Linked DNA regions of Caenorhabditis elegans. The protein of the gene in region 1 purifies or fractionates together with the protein of each later gene. This does not show direct contact. Each region holds a gene or a part of one and is shown in the gene's direction. Other genes may lie near its edges.

Region 1 (5,029 bases):
AATGTATCTTCAATGTGCTCCATTGTACGGTAGGTTGGGAAGATGGACTGAAAGATATTGTCCAGATACTTTGATATTTATTGTATCAATTGGAAGATGTGAAAAGGGAGAAGAAACTCGTAAACCATATGATCCAGACAATCGAGTCGTGATTCCAAGACTACCTTCGGAGACTTCATTTGTTGAGTGGAAGGGTAATAGGTTAGTTTTTGATAGAAGTTATTTAAATTTTATAAATAATTGGAAAACTCGTAGCAGCTCATCAAATTGATCCGAGAAACAACAGATAGCAAATTTTTCAAAGCATTTTTTTCGAAAACTGTTTTTCCAACTTCAAATCGATTGCCATGACTTTTTGGATTTTCAGAGTGATTGACCATCAACTCCCAACTCATATATCCCCGCCACGAGTTTATCCGCCTGTCCCGGAAACTCACCAACCTCAAATCTACAGTACTATTGATCAGTTCCCAAAGGATTTGCTTCCAAAGATTCCAGAATTAGCGACAGCTGAAAAAACCTATGCTCAACAATACCAAAATGTACATAATTTAACTTCAAAAATATTTTTTAAATTCTCATCTTGTAGCACATTCATGGAAGTGTGGTTAGTGGAGGACATAATCATCAAGTTGTTCGACCAATTGCTCCAACTCCAACAATTGCTCCAAATTCGAATGTTCCAGTTTCCTATCAAATTTCTCAAAGCCAGAACTCACTATCAACTAATGTACTGAACATTTAACAGATTCTGTATTTACAACTTTATTTTTCAGAGCATAAAATCCGAAATTGATCTTTCCCACATACATCCACTATTTCCACGTGTTCAGCCAGATTTTTTAAGTCGAATGTTGCCATCACTCAATTTTAAAATGCACGATGAAAACTCTGGAGCTCAATCACTTGGAAGTGTAGTCAAGCCTGTGCTTAAAAAGGTAAATATTTTATTAAAAAATTGAGATTCTTATTTCTCCAATTTCAGATCGCTCTGAACCAAACTGAACAGTTCTTGGATCGTTTATTGGCTGATCAAAAAAACGATGAGAAGCTACGAAAAGAAACAATTGATCGGCTAAAGTCATCAAATAGCGATAATATTACGAAAAAAAATTAATTATAATTTTAAAATAATTTATTTGCAGAATTGTATTATTTTAATTTGTAAAAATGAAAACTGCGAGCCTCATGGTGAATTTTCAGAAAATTAATACAATGACAATTAAAAATTAGTGAATTATTTAGAACAATTAAGTATTTGTCGCTCGCAGTTTTTATTTTTGTGAATTTCTGTTCGCTAAAAATCTTTATTTCTTTTTGTCGTCAAATTGGGTGTCGGGTACGCAAATACTGCAAACACCGTCACGCACATTTGCGGATGATGATTTCTCAAAATATTTTTTTAAATGTTTTTCACCGCCATTTTCTTTTTTCTCAAAATTTGCTTTCCTTTTTCATTTTTCCACATTCTACCTAGTTTTCGAAAGTCTTTCTGTTCCCCACTTGTGATAATATGATCTCCATTCGTTTAATCAATAATAAAGTGACAAATTTAAGTGTTTTGTTTAGTATTAAAGTTTTCGGTACTTATTGGTTACGTGTCTAAAGTATTTCAAAGTTTAAATGGAAAATGTGCGTTGTTTAAAAGTTGAGCTGTTTGTTTTCTGAGCTTCGTAATAGGGTAAATTTATTTTGTCTTCATATATCTTGCGCGCAATTGCGTTATACTTCAAAAATATTAGCATGCACCCAAATAGAAGAAATAAAAGTAAGTTGAAACCACATCGTAGGAGGTAACGAAACATTGTAGTTCGATGTATTAGTACAAACGCACGACATATTTTCGTTTCTGTTTTTTTCATGACTATTCGGATGAAAAACGCTTTTGTACTGTTCAGATTCGTAAAGCTGATTAATTAAAACAAAAATATTTCGAAATAGCAGTTTGACGTTTCTTTTTCATGAAAATAATTCTGTTCCGTGGTTACATTTTCTGAAACTATTTTTTTGCAACAACGTTAAATTTTCATTTCTAGGAACATGTCTGCCGCTGCTTTGGAGGAAATCGGTATTGCTCCATTACAGGAGAATACTTCTCTCCGTCCGCCACCACTTCCAGCCACCTGCGTTGATGTATCATCAGACGACTATATCAAGCTTACAACGCTGGAACGTCAACTGGCGCATCTTCAAGTTATGGAGGACTATATCAAGCTGGAGACAAGAAACCTTGAAAAAGAATTGCTTCATGCTCAGGAAGAAGTGAAGCGTATTCAATCTGTGCCACTTGTCATTGGACAATTCCTGGAAGCTGTGGACCAAAACCATGCTATCGTTGGAAGCACCACCGGATCCAACTATTATGTCCGTGTTCTATCGATTTTGGATCGTGAGCTGCTTAAGCCAGGATGTTCGGTGGCCCTTCATAAATATTCAAACGCACTTGTTGATGTTCTTCCACCAGAGGCTGACAGCTCCATTCAAATGCTTCGTCCTGATGAGAAACCTGACATCTCTTATGGAGATATTGGAGGTCTTGATATGCAGAAGCAAGAAGTCAGAGAAGCTGTCGAACTTCCATTGACTCATGGAGAACTTTATCAACAAATCGGAATTGACCCCCCAAGAGGAGTTCTCATGTATGGACCACCAGGATGTGGAAAGACTATGTTGGCGAAGGCTGTTGCTGCAAATACTGCTGCTTCCTTCATTCGCGTTGTTGGATCTGAGTTTGTACAGAAATATCTTGGAGAAGGTAATTATCAAGTTTTAAAACACCATTATTGTAACTTTTAGTCTTTTAGGACCACGAATGGTGCGTGACGTCTTCCGTCTGGCAAAGGAAAACAGCCCATCTATTATTTTTATCGATGAAATTGACGCGATTGCTACGAAACGTTTCGATGCTCAAACCGGAGCAGATCGTGAGGTAAGATTACTTCGAGATTGATAGTTTTTTCTCCGAATTTTAGGTCCCTAGAAAAAAGTTTTGTTAAACAAGTGGTATTTTTCCAGGTTCAACGTATTCTTCTCGAATTGCTCAATCAAATGGACGGTTTTGATCAAAGCACTAATGTGAAAGTTATCATGGCCACTAATCGACAGGATACTCTCGATCCTGCACTTCTTCGTCCAGGTCGTCTCGATCGTAAGATTGAGTTCCCATTGCCAGATCGTCGTCAAAAGCGTCTCGTATTCTCAACCGTCTGCTCTCGTATGAACCTGTCGGATGATGTTGATTTGGAAGACTGGGTTGCTCGTCCAGACAAGATTTCAGGAGCTGATATCAACTCTATCTGTCAAGAAGCTGGTATGCAAGCCGTTCGTGAGAATCGTTACGTTGTGCTTACCAAGGATCTTGAGAAGGCCTACAAGAATGTTGTGAAGAAGGATACCAACGATTTCGAGTTCTACAAGTAAACCACGAGTTACTCTCCGATGACCCTCCAGTTCGTCCTGTGAACCATATTTTTACTATAATTTATTGTATTTACACCGTGTCTCGCATAAACAATTTGCTCTTCACCGAACGTTCAAAATCTTCATACATTCATTCTGGTGAAAAAATCAAGATTAACAGTAGGTGTAAGTATAATAGTAGGTATAAGTTCAAACTAATGTAACATTCCTGTCGATTGGTCCAGAAACTGAGTTCCAAATACTAAAAATGGCTTGATCGTAATTGTTAGCTCCAGATTTTCCAGTTGAAGACATTTGAATAGTTGCTCCCTCAGACTTCTTCAATTTTATTCGGTTAAAAAAACTTGAGAAGCTTCCAATAACGAAATTATATGTAGGAACTATCTGAAATTTTTTATTCATCGTGTTTTCTTAATTTTCATTCATCACTGTTGTCGAAAAAGTTCTGACTCCGAATAAAGAGTCGGGGTCTGAAATTATCAGATTTCCGAAATATCGAAAAAATACCACAGCAGATACATAAATCCCGAATGAAATAATATGAATTAAAATAAGAAATACGGAAAATTTAGTGGATTGATAGACTTCTTCCAGTTGATATTTTACAGCAAGTGAAGAATTTTTCAATTGTAATTTCAATTTAAGATTCATTCGAAGTAATATTAAATCAAATATAACATCTACGAGATTGACGAAAAATATAATTATAAAAAAGGTAAACGCCTGAAAAAAAAGATTCATCGTGAATTTTATTTTAATTTTTTTCAATTTGATCATATAACTTCATAAAGGTTTCTTGATTGACAATCGATATCGATTGTAAATCGAATTTAGAAATATCTAATTTCCATTTTCAAGGGCAGGTCAATAATATGGATGGGTCCTGCCGCGATCTCGATATCGCTCGAGATCGCGATATGCATTCTTTTAACTTATTTTGTATGCACCTTTAAGTTACTGTTTTTGTATCATTAAAGGAGCATGTACATAATAAAAGAGAAATCTGAATTTATAGGTAAAATAAACTGTAAAACTCATCCTACTTTCTGAGCAGCGACTGCTGGAATAACAGAAAACGATACATTTCCATCAGTGTAACTTTCATCTTTTAACATGTTAAAGATAATACAAAAGTTCAATAGAACCTGAAAAATCATATAAATAATTTACCTAAAAAAACTTGAAATTACATTGAATCCAACAAGAATTGGCCCCATAACTACCGACGCCTTTTCATATTTTTCTGCCGTTTCCATCGCAAAATACCGTTCAATTGTAACGGAGCACGGGAAAAAGGTAGAAAGTGTTAGGAAAAACAAAATGAAAAAATTCCAAATTTTATGAGGAAATGGGGATATTATTAAATCACAATTGTCCGTTGATATTATTGATTTTATAATTTGGGTAGTCTGGAAATTATTTATTGAACTCTGATATCTTAAATATGTGTCATTAGATCAGATTACGGTATTTTTAGGTACGTGTATTTTAAACTTACTGAAGTGGTGAGATGTGTCATAGAAAATGCTACAAGTGACACAAAATAGCTGATAAATATTGTTTTCAAATTTCCATGAAAACTTGATTTTGAGAGCTTGAACAAAAGAAA
Region 2 (4,557 bases), on another chromosome or scaffold:
AGAAATTTTGAAAAAAATCAGCGGATATTTAAATTTTCAAAGAAAGTTTTTCAAATTTATTACCCAGACGTTAAAATTTGCGATTTTTGCGCCGAAAATACGGTATTCGGTCTCCACACGGTAATTTTCGGTTAAATACAAACGGGTGTCCGCCTTTAAAGAGTACTGTATTTTAAAAATTTTGTTGCTGCGGAATTTTTATCGATTTTCCATAATCTATTAAAAATTTAGAGTTTTTTTTTAATATTTTAGTTTTTAAAAAGTAAATAAACATATTTTTATATGATAGAAAAACGATGAAAAATTAATAAGAACCCCGGAATAACAAAAGTTTGAAATTACAGTATGTATGCAGTACTCTTTAAAGGCACACACGTTTTTGTGTTTTAAAAAAATTGCCGTGTCGAGAACGGGTACCGTATTTTCACATCAAAAATCGGAAAATTTAGTATACGGGAGATTGATAAAATCTTATTGAAAATTAAATGTTTTAAAAAATGCGGAAGGGAATTTCAAATTCCGCTCTTTTCTTTAACGATATTTTTATTTTTCGGAAATTGCTGAGACTCCTTTTCCACTTTAAATTATTGTATCAGTTTATAAAAGAAATTATCGGGTCTCGCCACGATACGTGCGCCTTTAAACCGTACCGTGCAATTCTCCATTTGAAGTGGTCCACCATCTTTCGACTCCTTTTTCAGAGTCGTGTTATGGATATTCGCAATTGTAAAGTCTTCGGCATTAACTTTTTCTCGACGATCCCTTAAAAATTAATTTTTCGGGTCCCGCAGCGATGCGCCTTTAATCTTTTTTTGAATTCCAGACCTAAATATCTAAAGAAACGAAACCTAGAAACCTCAGAGAGGCGCTATCAAAATGATTGCAACAGGTCTTGCAGCGAAATCGAATTTTTTTAAAAAATTCACTGCGAGACCACAAATTCCACTTACCACGAATACTTTGGAGGTTCACCTCCCTCTTCCGGTTTCGGCACCGCATCCTCGCTGACCTTGTAGCGATCCTCACGTTTAGACCGGCGCCCAAAAAGCTTTTTCGAAAAACAACAGCTCATTGTTCGAGGCTCCCGCAGAATATGCGAAAGTGAGTGAATGAGCAGCGCGAGTTGCTCGGCGAGAGCGCGCGTTGCTATGGAAACCCATGTGAGAGCATCACGTCGCCTTCACTTCCGATGCGAAAGAGGAGGAGCGCAAGACGACGACTTTAATCAACAATTTATTACCACTTTCGTTCAAGAGGTTCAGAGGTTGGGATGGGGGATAATAGCTGCAACCAGCATTCACATATAATATTTGAGATGCGGGGAAGAGGATTATTGGAAAAAGGAGTGAACGAAAGTTTCAGTTGAATACATTATTTCGAGTTACAGAACAATGAAAAGACAACGAAAATGGGGGGAATGATGATTGATTTAGTTGGTCTGGCTTGGGCAGTCGCGGGAGATGTGTCCGGTCTCCTGGCACTGGTAGCAACGCTTCTCCTCGGCCGAGCCACTCTCGGTGCACTCGCGGGAAATGTGCCCGGAGCGTCCGCAATTGTAGCACTTTTGTCCGCCGAAGCTTCTGCCTTCTCCACCGCGGCCTCCGTAGCCACCGCTTCCTCCCTCAGATCTGGCGGATGGGCAGTCACGAGAGTAGTGTCCACGTCCTCCGCAGTTGTAGCACGATCCACCGCCGCCGCCACCTCCACGTTGTCCTCCTCCGGATCCTCCCTTGGGGCAATCGCGAGAGAAGTGTCCAGTCTCTTGGCAGTTGTAGCAGGTGGATCCTGAAATAACATGAAATTAGTCTCGAGATTTCCGCTGTAAATTTATCATCAAATAACTCCTAATCTCCGCCAGCTTAAACACATTTCTCTTCGCCTCCACTTCTCCAGAACTTCAAAAATTATTGCAATTCGGTAAGAAATCAAGAGATAATGTATTTACCTAAATCAACTCAACACCCCAAATTCAACACCACTCCACCTCCTCCACCTCCTCTACGTCCACCATCGGACTCGCCATTCGGGCAGTTGCGGGAGATATGTCCCGGCTGTTGGCACTTGTAGCAATTTCTGTCCGACATTACTGCAAATAATTGATTTTAGAAAAAAGAAATTATCAGTTGCGAGGAATTACAAAAAAATAAACGGTTGAATGTCACAATTTCAATCAAAAATGGCGAAAATTCAGAGAAACAAAAATCCAAGACAGTGAGGGCGAGAAATCATGGATATTCAGTGACTAACATGACAAAAACTAATAAATACATGGAAAACTAGTTATAAAAACCAGTTTTAACGGGAAAAAAGTCGGCGAAATCAGAAAAAATCAAAGAAAATGTGGCCAGAACGTGTCGATCGTCCCAAAATCGAATGTTGGCCGCGTGCCAGGAAAGTTAGATGTGCAGGCAGTCCGGTGGAGCGCCAATTCAAACGTCATTTTTGCTGCATTGAGATTTGATGACAATGTTTTTTCTGCTCGGGTTTCTCGTTTTTAATGATTTTATTCTGAAAAATAACTACTAAATTTGTTTTTATACATTATTATTGATTTCTTAACGTTAAAATAACTTTTAAAAAATGAATTTAAGTCGATATTTTGCAGATAATGGATACTATGCGAGATGAGAAGCGCAAAGCCATTCCGGCAATCGGGTTCTATCCACAGGAAGAAATCAGCACTGGAGTGAGATTTTTAAATTGAAATTTCCACTAAAAGCTCAATTTTCAGACCACTCTCATCGCTATGGAGTACAACGGTGGAGTTGTCGTCGGAACCGACTCGAGAACCAGCGCCGGCTCGTTCATCACCTCCCGTGCCACCAACAAAATCACCCCGATCACCGATAATATGGTTGTGTGCCGTTCTGGATCTGCAGCGGACACTCAAGCGATCGCCGATATTGCCAAGTACCATATTGATGTTTATACGTAAGGAATTTTCAGTTGTTTTAAAATTAAATAAAATAATTTTTTTAAATAATCACTTTTTTCAGCATGACAGAGAACAAGCCAGTGACAATCTACCGCTCGAGCCAGATTTTCCGCCAATTCCTCTACAACTACCGCGAGCAGCTCTCCGCCTCAGTGCTCGTCGCCGGCTGGGATGAGGAGCTCGGCGGCCAGGTCTACGCAATCCCAATCGGAGGATTCGTGTCCCGCCAGCGATCGACAGCTTCCGGCTCCGGTTCCACATTCGTGCAGGGCTTCCTCGACAGTCAATGGAGACCAAACTTGACGCTCGAGGAGTGCAAGGCGATCGTGAAGCAAGCCGTCGGACTCGCCACCTTCCGTGACGGATCCTCCGGCGGAGTTGTCCGTCTCGCCGTGATCAACAAAGCCGGCTCACAGTTCGAGCTGTTCCGTCCCGACAAACCAGGATTCCCATTCGTGCAGACACCAACTCCACATCTCTCTTTCCCACCGCACATCGAACAAGTCCTCTAAAATCGTTTCGTTTTTCGATCTTCTATTGTATTTTCCCCTGTGCGACTATACTGCTAAGTTATTTGATTTCCCTCAATATTTATGAAAATTCACACTTGTCATCATTTTCGTTTCAATGCTGCTGCTGCTACCGCTGCTATGTCAAAAGTGCAGTAATTGGTTAGCCAAGCTACGCAATTGACCGGTATTCTCCTCCGGGAAACTGGTCACGTGGAACGTCAAGCGATTTATTAGAGTTAATTTAACAGAAAGAGTTCATAAATTGCGAAAATATACACGTGGCAGGTTATGGAAAGACGAAAATATTGCAATGGGCGAGTATCTCTAGGGAGGAGAATATTCAAAAAAAAAATTGGGGGAAATTAGAAATTAAAATCTGCAATCGACGAACTGCAAAATTCTGCCAAGGATCGTCCACGTGTACTGGGAGCCGCCAACGTTTGTGCAAGTGGCGAGCAGAGACGGAGCCGCTGAGATTGAAGCTCTTTGCTGAAAAATTAAGAAAAATAAAAATAATTGTTCCTTGTGGTTTCTTAGTTTTCACAGCTGAAAAGATACGGAAAGTCTGCGGATTTTCAGCGAAAATTGTAATTTTTTCTAAAATTCTAAAAAAATCCCCGAAATTTCGAAAATCAGAGGAAATTTAAGAAAAAAAAAATCGATTTTGGAGCCAAAAATGCGTTACCCGGTCTTGACACGATTATTTTCCGTTAAATACAAACGGGTGTGCGCCTTTAAAGGGTACTGTAGTTTCAAATTTTTGTTTCTGCGCGATTTTCATCGATTTTTCATAGTTTTTCGTACTTTTTACTTTACATTTGTAATTTTTTAAAAATGAAATACTATTTTGAATCGAAAAATAACAAAAAATCGTTGAAAATTCCGCTGCACCAAAAGTATGAATCTACAGTACTCTTTAAAGGCGCACACCTTTTTGCATTTAAGGAACATGTGTCGCGTCGAGACCAAATTACCAAGAAATTCGATTAAAAATCCGATTTTTCGCTGATAATTTGAAAAATTTTCTGGATTTTTTAAAGCAGAAAATTGCATTAAAATTTTTGGTTAAATTTCTCAATCTTTTCTATGAAATAAAAAAAATGCACAAAA
Region 3 (6,249 bases), on another chromosome or scaffold:
TGAAAAAAAAACCGTAAAACTAAAATGATCTTGGTAGATACTATGTTCTTTTTGACTCTAACCACCTGAAAGTAAGAGCAATTTCTGATTGTTCAATTAAACCATCGAATTCCTGCAAAACTTTTATTTAAATCAACGGATATAATTGTCCAAAGAAACATTCGATTCCCGATTCAAAGAAAAATTACGTCAAACATCCGTTTGTCAACGTCACGAATTGTTATCATATTTGTTGGCGAAGTAGTTTGCACTGATGGTTGTTCTAGATGAATAGATCACAATCAGACCACCCTTGGTCTGTGACGTAGCATATAGTTTGTCAAACATTTTCAAAACACTTGATGTTAACAGGCATGGGAACAAAAAAGTAGTCAAAAATTAGTTTCAAAAACGTTTATTTTCTTCATCAAAATTATATAGTACTGTAGTATTATTTTGTTGTTTTTCTAATTGTTAACGGTCTCTAAAGTGTGGTCCTATTCAAACATTTTCAAATTGATGATAGAAGAACCAGAATGTGGCGGCAATTACGTTATTGGGAGGAGGTTTTGATTTTGAATTTAATGTAAAAAGTAGCATTTTCCATCTTCCTCTTTTCCATTTTTCTTCAATTTTTTTCTGTACAATTTCTTTTGCTTGGCCAAACATCCCACGCAATCATAAAAAAAATTTTTATGATGCTGTGAAATTTGCCGCCGCTTGCCACTTTTTCATTCCGTCTAGATAATTGAAATTCTGAAAATTCTTGAAGATTGAGTAGCGTTTGTGGGAATTTTGTTCTAATGCAGCCACAATAGTATAGCACAACCAATTAAATTTTTTAAGTATTTTGGATTTTCGAAAAAAGTTAGTCAAAGTTCTGGCAATGCCATATTGTTTGAAACAGTTAGGATTTTGAAGAAATATATGTAGAGTAAACCCGCATGAAACTTTTAAATTAAAAAAACCTGAATATAGTTTTTGGCTAATTTCCAAGTATGTGAAACCTGAAATATTGCCAATGTTTGACTGTAAATAAAAACATTTCAAATTTTTTGAAAAACTTTAATACGTTATTTTTAATCATTTTAATTATTTTTGTGAGTAGTTTTGAACGGAAAGCAGCGATAAGCCACTTTGAAGGGATAGATGTTCAGTGAAAAACCAACAAAATTCCAAACTTTCAGTCTAGCAACATTATTTATTATTTATTAAGAGATTATGCCAGTAGCAGAGTCGGCTTTAAATTACATTATTTAATTAAACACACATATTCCAAAAGTTCTCTTTTTTTTTTCGAAGTGGCGGTACGATTTCATCAATAGGCGTTTCACTTGGAATTATGCAAAATTTGAGCTATTTTTGAAATCGATAAATCAAAATTAATGAGCCAAAACCCACACAATGACAATACCGGCCACAAAAACTGTAACCTCGTTCGTCCCAGGTATTTAGCAAAATAAAATGTAGAATATTATATCTAAAGTGCAGTTCTTGCAAACAAAGATCAAATGGTTTTAGTTCAGAATCTGCCAATTTTTGATCATAATCGTGCAAAATCAGTAAGATCAGATGCACTATATTTGCCTTTCCATCGAAACCAGATTCTCTCCCCCAAAAAAACCAATCAAGTGCTTCTAAACTTTTAGCTGCAAAATCTTCTTGTTTCGTAGAAATGGGGTCATCTCCAATCTGTTTAAAAGGGATTGACTTAACACCTTTATGTCCCGACGATTCTTTAAAATAATTGGCGATTCTCTTTTCGTTTTCTCAAGATTCATTAGAGAATCACGTGAACTGCAAAAACTGCAAACGGCGTGTTTGACCACAAATGCAACTTTTCGTTGCGGTGGGAACACAAACATTCCACATCGCCGGAATAAGGGGGCAACGAGGGGATAATAAGTAGGTTCTGACCTCCTCTCCCGGGGCTTGGTCACCGTTTACATCGATGCGATCATGTCCCAAGGTCGAATCTCTGTCTCTTTTATGACTATTCTCTCGGATAGGACATTGTCGAAAACCACCAACGATTCACCGCCCCCATCCCGTCCATTCATCTTTCACTTGTTACTTCTTGTGTAGTCCATGTCCAAGAATGGTTAAAGAACGACGAAGATGTACACACTTCTTCTTCTTCTTTTTTCCCAACTTTGTGATTCTTTTTTAGCTAAATTCTGCTTCTAGTGCATTGATAATCGTTAAATTCAACTAAATTATCTAGAATTAATTCTGCTGGTGAAACAAAATACAGCTGAGCGAAAAACTCAAGGTTTTCATCACTTGACTAAATAAGAATGAATACTTCACTACTTTTCAAACCCCGTCTTTAATAAGTTACTCATATTTGGTCGAACATACCTCAATCACACATGGTTGAAAAAACCGGTTCTGAACGTAGCTGACCTCTATGATGTCAACAGTTTCAGGTTTATCGAAAGAAATTTTGTGATTTGTTCAGTTTTAGATGTTATCTATGAGTACGGTAGAGGCAAACATAGATATAACTATTTTCTAGCACTTTTAACAATAATTAATTATTTCAATTAATCTTATTAATTTGTTCGTCAATTGTTGAAAACTCTCTAAATAAACCTTTTTTCAGCTATCGAACGATGGATAATACTGGAGAAGGATCGTCCGATTCGAGTGGAACTTGGGAGCGAATTTCGGACAATTCTCAGGTGAATTCACATATTTATTTATAGTCGCCTCTATTGTATTTCTCTATACCTCTCTTCAAGAATTCAATCTCATTTTGTACAGTCACTTTTTTCTTGCTCCTCTCCGCCCACTGTTCTGAGAGCAGACGGAATGGCTTAAAAGACGCAACAGATCGAAAGAATGCGGCCATTCCGAAAACTTTGTTCTCCTCATTTTCTCCGTCTTTTTCTTCTTTTTTCTTGTATCCCCAATCGTTTATCTTTCCTAAAACATCTCCCTCCTTTACTTCTCCGCGACTTTTTTCCGTCATACTTTTGTCGGGTCGTGTCGGGTGAAGGGACGATGATCGACAGCAATCAGATACAGTATCGGCCCCCGAGATTAGATCACACAGTAACTGACAAGACGACGGACAACTCAGGGACATCACATCTGCAAAAAGGACCTCTCCTATCGATAATCTCTTCTCCTCATCTCGACCTTTCTTTGAGTTCCTATTATTTCTCTTTTCTCTCTTCTTTGTAGATTAACATGGAATGTTGGAAATGCCTCGGTCTCGTCGTTTAGATATTACCCGATTCTATCTCACGGGACAAGAAGAAGCACGAATGGATCCGGTATTAATGTCATCACTTTCATTGTCTTGATTAGCTCATTCATGTGATCTAAGTCATCATGTTATGAAATAGTTGAATCGGTATAAATATGGAGTGAGCGAATTCAGATGAATCACGCCACTTGTTATTCAAATTATCACACTTGGCAATCTAAAACATTTCTTTTTTTCAAGTATAAATCACAATGAGTGTCTGATGGAGAAAATGCTAGAAGGTCTTTCAGCGAGTACTTTATTATTTTTTCTTGTACCATTGCTTGACTTTGAAAGCTTGTCTTTTGTTTTATCGAAAAATTACCAACTGACAAACTATTAGTTATTTAATTTTCTACAGTTTTGTAGTTAATTATTTTTTGACACCAGTAAAATGAGCCAAGATAAATGCTTTCAAAGTTGACTAAAAATTAATTGTTAGTTCTAACTTTTCACGTGGCTACAAAGATACATTCCTCTTACAGTCATAAATCAAACAACTTCTTTTGTTTTAGTGTCAGAACACATCTTGAAACTTGAGAAAAACACTGAATTAAAATAGATTAGAGTAAGTACTGCACTTTTTGAATAAAACTCGTATGACGTGATTTTTAATGTGATAATTACTCTGAAATATCTCAAAACATCCCTCAGTGAGTGGGAAGATACCGTAACCAAGGAATTCAATTTTCACCTCTTGTTACCCTAAAATTAGAAAATTTGTCGTCGTAGAACCTAAACGGATCGTCGAATGTCTCGACGGTTCCCGTGTCCCTCTCTTTTTATCTTTTACCATCTCTACCGCGCAGCAGAGCGCCCGTATCCGCATCTTCTTCGTTTTCCTAGTTTTCTTAGTTGTCCGGTTGTCATCTTATTCTTCTTCTTTTCTTCCATCTTCCCTTCACCTCTTCTTTTGTCATTTCTGAGTACATGCCTCATTCACAAGTGAGCGTATGTGTTTGTGTTTTGTCCGTCTGGTTCTATTTCGAGATTTTAAAATCAATAAGTTTCATAGAACCACTTTGATGGTTGTTATCACATTTCGATTCTTAGATTTGTATTCAAACGGTTTAAAATTGTAACTAATTTTGAAAATTTCAGTCTTCGGACAACATGGATCCAACACAATGGTGGCAGAAGCAGGACGATATCGTAATCTCAGGAGTCTCGGGCCGATTTCCAAGGTACATCTATTTTGAAACCTAAAATTTTGATGACGGATGAGAACGGTAATTGGGTAATGTAATAAACCCATCTGAAAGTACTGACAATATCACATTTACCGTTTCCTCTATTAGAACTGCACCTCATCAACTTTTACTGCTAATATTTGATTTTAATTTGACCTATACAAAACTGTAAAAATGATCATCCGTTGATATGTTTAAAATAATCCGATATTTAAGCTTTCAAAGTAAAATATACTTTTTTTAAGAATTTTACAAATAATTTTAAATAATCTTATTTTTAAGTTTTTGCGGAAACCGTTCACGATTTTACTGAAATATGTCAAACGTTCCAATTTTTTCAGATGCGATAACGTCAAAATGTTCGGAGACATGCTTCTTGCTGGTGAAGACCTGGTAACGGAAGACTCTCTCAGATGGACACCAGGATTTTGCGATCTGCCAAAAAGACATGGAAAACTGAAAGTGTTGAACAAATTCGACGCGGGCTTTTTTCAAGTTACTCCAAAACAGGCAAATTTCATGGATCCACAAGTTCGACTACTTCTTGAAGCTTCATGGGAGGCAATGGTTGATGCGGGTATGTCCATTTTTCTCTCTCGTATTCTCTATCTATATCCCTCCCTCGGAAAAGGAGACGGAAATCGGAAAAAGTGTGCCCCGATGTACCGGGCTGTGGTGGTAACCTTGAGACCGTCATGCGCGCGCACTACTGACCCCGTGCAAGTAGGATGTTCCACTTTTATGATTTTGGAATATTGAACAAGTCAAATAAAGAAATTGGGAAAAGAACAGTGCTTATTCAATTAAAAAACAAAAAAGGAATAATTAAATAATAATACTCAAATTTCAGGCATAAATCCCACTGACCTCCGTGGATCCAAAACAGGAGTTTTTGTTGGATGTTCAGCTTCAGAAACCTCTGGAATGCTCACACAAGACCCAGATACTGTAACGGGCTACACGTTGACGGGTTGTGTGCGTTCTATGTTCTCTAACCGTATTTCTTACACATTCGATTTGCAAGGACCATCTTTCTCGGTGGACACCGCTTGCTCATCTTCACTTTTGGCACTTCAACTTGCCGTCGACTCTATTAGACAGGTTCGTTGCTTTGTTTTTTATGCAAGTTCAATTTATGATGATTTCTACTTTCAATCTGAGATGAAAAATTATTCTAATATTTAATTATTCAGGGTCAATGCGACGCCGCTATTGTCGCAGGAGCTCATCTCACATTGACTCCAACTGCAGCTCTCCAATTCTTGAGATTGGGCATGCTCACAGATAAGGGAAGCTGCCGTTCATTCGACGAATCTGGTGATGGATATTGTCGTACTGAAGGAGTTGCAGCCATCTTCATTCAACGCAAGAAGAAGGCTCAAAGACTCTATGCAACTGTTGTTCACGCCAAGTCTAACACTGATGGTGAGTTTTTTCCAGAATTAAAACATGAGTTTTTCTCAAACATTTAAATTTTAGGGCACAAGGAGCATGGAATCACTTTCCCATCAGGAGAAAGACAAGCTCAATTGCTTCAAGAAGTTTATTCTGAGGCTGGAATCGATCCAAACTCAGTCTACTACGTTGAGGCTCACGGAACTGGAACTAAGGTCGGAGATCCACAGGAAGCCAACGCAATCTGTGAAGTTTTCTGCTCCAAGCGTACTGATTCTCTTTTAATCGGTTCAGTCAAATCTAACATGGGACATGCTGAGCCAGCATCTGGAGTTTGCTCTTTGACCAAGATTCTTCTCTCCATTGAACGTCAATTGATTCCACCAAATTTGCATTACAATACTCCAAATCAGTACATTCCGGGACTTACCG
Region 4 (7,072 bases), on another chromosome or scaffold:
AGAAATGTTTCCGATCTCATCACGATAATAGATATCTTTAGCTTGAGCAGGAAGAACTGTGGTAAACTGTTGGAGTGCTGGTTGGCGACGTCCACGACGGTCCATTTGGTAATCGATTCTTGAGAATGGACCATCAAGCTCAGCTCCCTTGTGAACCAATTCAATGTACTCCTCCACAGCGATGTTTCCCCAGTGAGAAACCTCGATGAATCTTTCCACGATGGTGGCAATAACGAATGGCGAGTTATTTTCATAATGAACTTTGACTGGTTTCGTCTCAAAAGCTGGGATATTAACATATGGTCCGTAGATGACACGTTCCGTTTCTTGTTTCGATGGAGAAACTGTGGTTGCGGATAGAAGCTTGCCTCCTTGAGTGGTTCTAATAGTTGTTTTTTGGGTCACAGTTTCGTACAGGGAAGGAACGTATGCAGATGTGTGAAGAACAACAAATTGACTGTCAGATTGCTGAATCTTGGATGGGAGTGGCTCAAGTACTTGTGTGATACGAAGATTGATTCTTATGGTAACTTTGGCTCCCTTGGCAACAGGAGTTCGGAGGTCTACTTCGTAAACTGCAAGATCCTTTTCGGCTGGTTTTTCAGAAATTTTCAATTTTCCTTTGCTTCCATCGATTCCAGCAGAAATGAAAGAAAGAGTAGCAGATTCTTCTTTAGACAAAGCAATCTGAAAAATAAAGTTGAAATATAGGAAATATAGTGAATTTTCAGGAAAAATATATCTACATACCAAAACTTTCGATTGAGGTCCATTTCCAACGTTCTCAAATGAATACAATGTCGAAACCTTGACAATTTGTGACGTGGCATCGATGGTTCGGTCAACATTAGCGGCTTTCCAAGCGTCTTCAGCGAAAACCGCCCCCAGGAGAGCGATGGCAAATAGCAATCGCATCTGGAAAAATTAGATATACAATCAAAAATGCAGAAAACCCAAAAATGTCATATTAAAACGTTTCAAGAATGAAATTCGACTGATCGAGCAAGACGACATCTATTTGGAATTTAATTAATCAGCTCGTGTTAAAAAATTATCTATTATTACAATCTCAGCACAGAGTAACTTTATTTTGTCACAAAATCATTTAGCAGCAAAAATTCGCATGTACAGACTAGAAAAATGATATTTTTGTTTGGTGAAATCAGCAAAATTCATTATAAGAGCAAATTTCAAGTGTATTATATTGATTTGATGCATAAATTCTGCGAAAATCTATCTTTAAATTACAATAATTTCAGCAAAAAAAAGAGAAAGACGTGGTAAACTCGTCCACGTATTTTGAATCGGAGCCATTCGTGGCGAGACCCACCAGCCGGCATGATGACTGCGCCTTTAAACAAAGTCTGTTCAAATTATCATTTTTTCCGCGAACCGGCGCGGATTTTCAGATTTTCTAATCCAATTGTCATCGTTTTGTTGTTTTTTTATTCTTTTATTCGGATTAGATGTATTTCACTCTTAGTTTCTATTCCTTTTTTCCAAACTCTGACTCTCAAAATAGTTATTTTTCGATGTTTTCATAAAGTTGAAAAATATTCACGTTTTCGAGGGAATTAGTATTTGAATACGCTGTTATAGTTTCTTCGTGACTTAACTGTTTTGTTAATTCTATAAAATTCATTTCGAAATCTCAGCTTCTCTTTCGAATACATATATTTTGAAGGATCGAAAAATGGTGGCGACTACTCAACAGACACCAAAAGAGGCGGACAAAAAGAAAGCCGACGATAAAAAAGTTCCCGAGAAAGCTGAGCCAAAAAAAGAAGAGATGGTTAGTTTAAAGAATAACTATTGTTTAAGCCGTAATGAGACTTATAGCTTATTTATTTCAGAGCGAAGAGGATCAAAAACTCGAGGAGGATCTCAATCTTCTTGTTCAGCGTTTATCTGAACCGGACACAACACTTTACAAGCCATCACTGGAGACTATGCGGACATTGATTCGTGCTTCAACCACATCGATGACCTCTGTTCCAAAACCTCTCAAGTTTATGCGTCCGCATTACAATAAAATGAAGGAGATTTTCACATCGATCGTGGCGCCTGACGTTAAGAAACTTTGCGCAGATATCATTTCAGTGCTCGCAATGACATCAGATGAGCGAACCGACACGATCAACTATCGTATTCTTGGATCACACGAGCCGATCGGGGATTGGGGACATGAATACGTTCGTCATTTGGCGATGGAAATGTCAGAGGAGTGGAAGAAGGAAGGCACTTCGGATGCGAGAAAAGCTGAACTCCTTAAGTTGACTCAGGATATTGTCAGCCATCACATGAAACACAACGCAGAAGTTGAAGCGTGCGATTTGCTCATCGAAATTGAGCGTATTGATTTGCTGATCTCTTATGTCCAAGAAGTTGATCACCAACGTGTGTGCCTTTATCTTCTTTCATGTGCCCCATTGACTCCAGACCCGGATAACATTATTCTTATTCGCACTGCTCTCCAACTCTATTTGAAATTCAACCGGTATCTTGAAGCTGTTAGATGTGCTATCATGGTCAACGATATTCCACAGGTTCATCAAATATTTGCGAAGGCATCTGACCCGTAAGTTAAATATAACGTCTCTTACTTTCCTAAAGAAAAGTTTTCAGATTGCTTCGAAAGCAAATGGCTATCTTGCTCGGTCGCCATCAGATTTTCCTTGACTACGAGGGATCTGCAGATTCGGATGCTCTTGCCGAACTGAATTCCAATGCTCATCTCTATGAATACTTCCACTCCTTGGCTCGTGAGCTCGACATTATGGAGCCTAAAACTCCAGAAGGAATTTACAAATCTCATTTGGAACATTCCCGGCCATTCGGAAACTCTGCTCAGCCAGACTCTACTCGCATGAATCTCGCCGCTGCGTTGGTGAATGGATTCGTGAACTGTGGATTCGGAGTTGATAAAATGATGGCTGAAACAGAGGAAGCCTCCAGATGGTTCTACAAGAACAAGGAATATGGAATGCTTACTGCAGCCGCCTCACAGGGTCTTATCTGGAGATGGGATATCGATACCGGCCTGGCACAATGCGACAGATTCTTGTATATCAATGACGATTATATCAAGGCTGGAACCCTTTTGGCTATTGGTATTATTTCCTCTGGAATTCAAGATGCTTGTGACCCTGCTTCCGCACTTCTCCTTGATCATGTTCAATCTGATCGGTCAATTATGAGAGTAGGATCAATTCTTGGACTTGGACTTGCCTACGCTAATTCCAAAAGAGAAACCGTTACAAAGAATGAGGAACGCGGTGTTATTTTCGAGCTCAAGAAAGTTCTTTCTGATCAAAAGCCATCGGCTATTCCTGAAGTTAAAGGACTTGCTGGACTTTCTCTTGGCCTCATTCTTGTTGGAACTGCTGATGCGGAAGCTGCGATGGAGATGCTTCAAGCTCTAATGGATAAAAGCGAAACTGAGCTCACAGATCCAAATATGCGTTTCCTTGCATTGGGAATTGCATTGATCTTCTTGCAAACTCAGGACAAGAGTGATGTGTTTGTCGAAAGTCTCCGTTCACTTCCTGATCCATTTGGAGCGATGGTAAGTATTATTTGTTCTAGATCACCTCGAGTTTTGGCTATTCCCTTGTTCATATCATAATGAATACAATTTCAGGTTTCTACGCTCGTTGAAGTTTGTGCATACGCAGGAACTGGAAATGTTTTGAAAATCCAGAAATTGCTCCATCTCTGCTCTGAACACTACGAGACGCCAGCAGCTGAGAAGAAAACTGCCGCTTCTCGTGGACCGCGTGGACCAGCCCCAGCTGCTGCTACACCTGCTCGTCCTGCTGCGCAACCTGGAAATGTCAACGTCGCTGGCACTCCAGCCCCAACTGGAACACCCGCCGTTGCCCCAGCTGCTCCGAGACGCGACCTTCCAGGAGCCGCAAGTGCTGCTACACCAGGAGCTCCAGAGACTGCTGCCGCCGACGCTACTCCAGCACCACCTGCCAAGCCAGACTTGTCATCGCAACAGGCGGTTGCTGTACTCGGAATTGGTCTGATTGCTATGGGAGATGACATCGGATCTCAGATGGCTCTTCGCATGTTCGGACATCTCATCAGATATGGAGAACCAGTTATCCGTCGTGCTGTTCCCTTGGCGTTGTCACTTCTCTCCGTCTCAAATCCTCAATTGAACATTTTGGAAACTCTGTCCAAGTTCTCTCACGATTCTGACGCTGATACCGCTCACAATGCTATTTTCGCGATGGGACTTGTTGGAGCAGGAACAAACAATGCTCGTCTTGTTGCTATGCTCCGAAACCTGGCTTCTTATCACTACAAGGATCAAGTTTCTCTAATGCTGGTCAGAATTGCACAAGGACTTACTCATCTCGGAAAAGGAACAATGACGTTGAACCCATGGCATTCTGATAGGCAATTATTGTCTCCAAGTGCTTTGGCTTCTCTCCTTTCAATTTGCTTCTCTTTCCTCGACGCCAATAACACGGTTAGTGCAAGATTGATATTTCTACCATAATTTATTTCAAATTTAGATTCTCAACAACCGTCAGCATTACTTGCTCTACACGTTGGTGCTCGCAATGCAACCAAGAATGCTTACCACACTGGTAGAAGACGAAATGAAGCCTGGAAGCTTGAAACAGGTATAATTTTTTTAAAAGTTTCAACTCTCCAATGTGATTTTACAGTTGAACGTTTCTGTTCGTGTTGGTCAAGCCGTTGACGTTGTTGCTCAAGCCGGAAAGCCAAAGACAATCACTGGATTCCAAACTCATACTACGCCAGTCTTGCTTGCCCATGGTGAACGTGCCGAGTTGGCGAACGATGAATGTATGCCATCCTAACATTTGATAATTAATTTTTAACTAAAATATTTCAGATCTCTCTGTGACTCCACATCTTGAAGGATTGGTTATTTTGAAGAAGAATCCAGATTATCAGCCGGTTGTTGTATCAACTAAGAAGTAACCAACAAATTTATGGATCTAATTTATTTTTCTCCCCCTTTTCTCCCATCTAAATTATCCGTTTTGACCCGTTTTATTGTGCACAATCCGATTGCATTCGCTCTCTGCCCGATTTCCCGTTTTTCTGTCAATTTTCCCTCTCCCTCATCATTTTTTCTTTGAAAAAAACGTGTACACTTTAAATTTGAGTGGGACGGTATTCGAGTAAATTATTACTTTCAATCTTATCATCCTGGGTTTTATATATGTATTAATATTTATTGATCACAGGAATTTGAAGATCTTCTAGGTATCCTTATCAAAGTATCGAATATATCAGAAAATCCGTCAAGGTGGCGATTGTTCGACATTAGATTTTCAGCATCGTTCGCATACATCTGGAAATAAAATTTAGAATGTTCAAATGTGAGTTTGGAAATTTTAGTTTTTCAGTTTTTAGAAAAGTTTAATGAATTATTACACTCACCTCAAAAGTAGCCTTTTTATCCATAAAAACATCTTTCATTTCATCAATTTCATTAATAATATCACTTGTCAAATATATAACAACAAGTGTCATAATTGCCATAAAACATAAAATTCCAATAGCAGCAAAATCAGCGATGAAACGAAATTTGTATAAAAATTCGGATGTATTCATAGTTTCGAAAAAACTATAAAGTTTCAAAATTTGATGTATTAAATGGAAAAGTAATAGAAAGAAGAAGCAAATGACCAATACAATTAGACAAAGAATTGAAAACTACAGAAAACAGGTGATAAAAGATAAGAAAAAGTGAAGAGATTTAGAGATATTTGTAGAGACTAACCAGTTTGACGAACTATAGAAGTGAATTGTGTAAACTTTTAGACTTTTTGTGATTCAAAAAAAAACAGTTTGAACATTTGAAATCACAGTATTATTTAAAGGTGCAGTGTTTAGCAAAAAATTATCGTAACGAGACCCGGTCACCATATTTCCGGCACAAAAATCTAACAAATAATGTTATAAGCCCATTTCATAGTTTTTAACATTTCCCACCAATCTAATCGTTTTGAAAACCCATTAATTTTTTTCAAAAATATTCTTGCAGGTTCAGTAAAACGAGATGAGCAGGAACAATCTTATTGTTTACATGAATCCGCCTGACATTTTACAAGAATACTGAAATTTGTGAAAATTGCACATAAGATATGGGACCAGGCGATTAAATACAATAGGGAATGATTATCTGACATGATTAAACTTTAGGATTACTTAAACAGGATTTATTGGTTCGTTATTGATGTTGAACGACCCTGATGATGACGTGCTGGATTGAGCATAGTAATCGTCAAATTTGTGGTCGATCAAACGTTGCCAACGAGTCCGAACCATCCCAAATTCCTCATCATCTTGGCGTTCGGTGTTCGTTTCTGAAAGCAGTGTTATTAACATAAACAACCATTTTATCTTATTAAAACATACTCTCACAAATTTCCTGCTCAAGAAAGCGAAGAGCGCAGACAAAGCCATTGATCACTCTGAAGGCAAGTTGCGAGTTCTTTTTGAATGATTGCAGATTCCATTTGTCTGTGCCAAGGATGTCCCGAAATTGAGCGATAGCGTTTTCGAACGGCAGGGATTGCACATTGTTATTGACAAGAAACTTTGTGATGGCATCGTAGAACATCCGCAGGTCGTCCAATTGAAGGATTCCTGTAGATTGCACATCAAGGACGCGGAACCAATACTCGATCGATTGATTCTCGTCAGTCCCAATCATCGCAAATATGAGCCACGTCACTTCTTTCGTATCGAGATAGTTTCCCGTTGAACGACGCACTAGGTTACTCGAGAAGATTCGGTCGACGATTATTGTTGGAATACCGGTTTCGTAGCAGTAAATGGCGATGGCATTCGAATCAAATATCTCATCCCATTTGCCAATATGATTGAGCTCGACTGCGCAGAGTTGTCCGGTGTGCCTACAATTTTAATAATTAAATGACTAATCTGAGATTATAGCCGATTACTTCATGTACCAATCCTCGCATGCATAACGCACGTAGTCATTTAGAAGATCTTTAGTCTTAACTTGAATCGTTCCCGTCCACGTTCGCCCAGCAGTCCAGAGTATACGCTCAGTGAC

What was found.
Region 2: the proteins of rpt-3 (region 1) and pbs-1 fractionate together in Caenorhabditis elegans (co-fractionation; one large-scale study listed by BioGRID). This does not show direct contact.
Region 3: the proteins of rpt-3 (region 1) and fasn-1 fractionate together in Caenorhabditis elegans (co-fractionation; one large-scale study listed by BioGRID). This does not show direct contact.
Region 4: the proteins of rpt-3 (region 1) and rpn-1 fractionate together in Caenorhabditis elegans (co-fractionation; one large-scale study listed by BioGRID). This does not show direct contact.

The regions. Positions count from the first base shown.
Region 1 is NC_003281.10:6,487,759-6,492,787, forward strand, and holds rpt-3 (putative 26S proteasome regulatory subunit 6B), read left to right. Parts: upstream 1-2,034; 5' UTR 2,035-2,040; coding exon 2,041-2,755; intron 2,756-2,804; coding exon 2,805-2,929; intron 2,930-3,015; coding exon 3,016-3,420; 3' UTR 3,421-3,524; downstream 3,525-5,029. Other genes in the region: Chitin binding domain containing chtb-2, read left to right, coding at 1-201, 368-542, 590-730, 777-938, 986-1,117; srb-11 (Serpentine receptor class beta-11), read right to left, coding at 3,610-3,804, 3,850-4,143, 4,464-4,565, 4,611-4,829, 4,919-5,029. UniProt on the Caenorhabditis elegans protein: The 26S proteasome is involved in the ATP-dependent degradation of ubiquitinated proteins. The regulatory (or ATPase) complex confers ATP dependency and substrate specificity to the 26S complex.
Region 2 is NC_003282.8:1,707,794-1,712,350, reverse strand, and holds pbs-1 (Proteasome subunit beta), read left to right. Parts: upstream 1-2,605; 5' UTR 2,606-2,608; coding exon 2,609-2,686; intron 2,687-2,731; coding exon 2,732-2,931; intron 2,932-2,996; coding exon 2,997-3,447; 3' UTR 3,448-3,548; downstream 3,549-4,557. Other genes in the region: rpi-2 (Protein XRP2), read right to left, coding at 651-762, 951-1,072; K08D12.3 (CCHC-type domain-containing protein), read right to left, coding at 1,430-1,785, 1,985-2,084; pugs-4 (C6 domain-containing protein), read right to left, coding at 3,817-3,936.
Region 3 is NC_003279.8:8,982,868-8,989,116, reverse strand, and holds the start of fasn-1 (Fatty acid synthase), read left to right. Parts: upstream 1-2,576; 5' UTR 2,577-2,594; coding exon 2,595-2,663; intron 2,664-4,333; coding exon 4,334-4,416; intron 4,417-4,763; coding exon 4,764-4,999; intron 5,000-5,272; coding exon 5,273-5,523; intron 5,524-5,615; coding exon 5,616-5,847; intron 5,848-5,901; coding exon 5,902-6,249.
Region 4 is NC_003282.8:6,904,526-6,911,597, reverse strand, and holds rpn-1 (26S proteasome non-ATPase regulatory subunit 2), read left to right. Parts: upstream 1-1,684; 5' UTR 1,685-1,693; coding exon 1,694-1,792; intron 1,793-1,853; coding exon 1,854-2,578; intron 2,579-2,625; coding exon 2,626-3,565; intron 3,566-3,640; coding exon 3,641-4,480; intron 4,481-4,526; coding exon 4,527-4,637; intron 4,638-4,682; coding exon 4,683-4,824; intron 4,825-4,873; coding exon 4,874-4,962; 3' UTR 4,963-5,178; downstream 5,179-7,072. Other genes in the region: ribo-1 (Dolichyl-diphosphooligosaccharide--protein glycosyltransferase subunit 1), read right to left, coding at 1-687, 751-915; T22D1.17 (Col_cuticle_N domain-containing protein), read right to left, coding at 5,219-5,338, 5,428-5,601; T22D1.5 (EF-hand domain-containing protein), read right to left, coding at 6,199-6,356, 6,409-6,908, 6,957-7,072.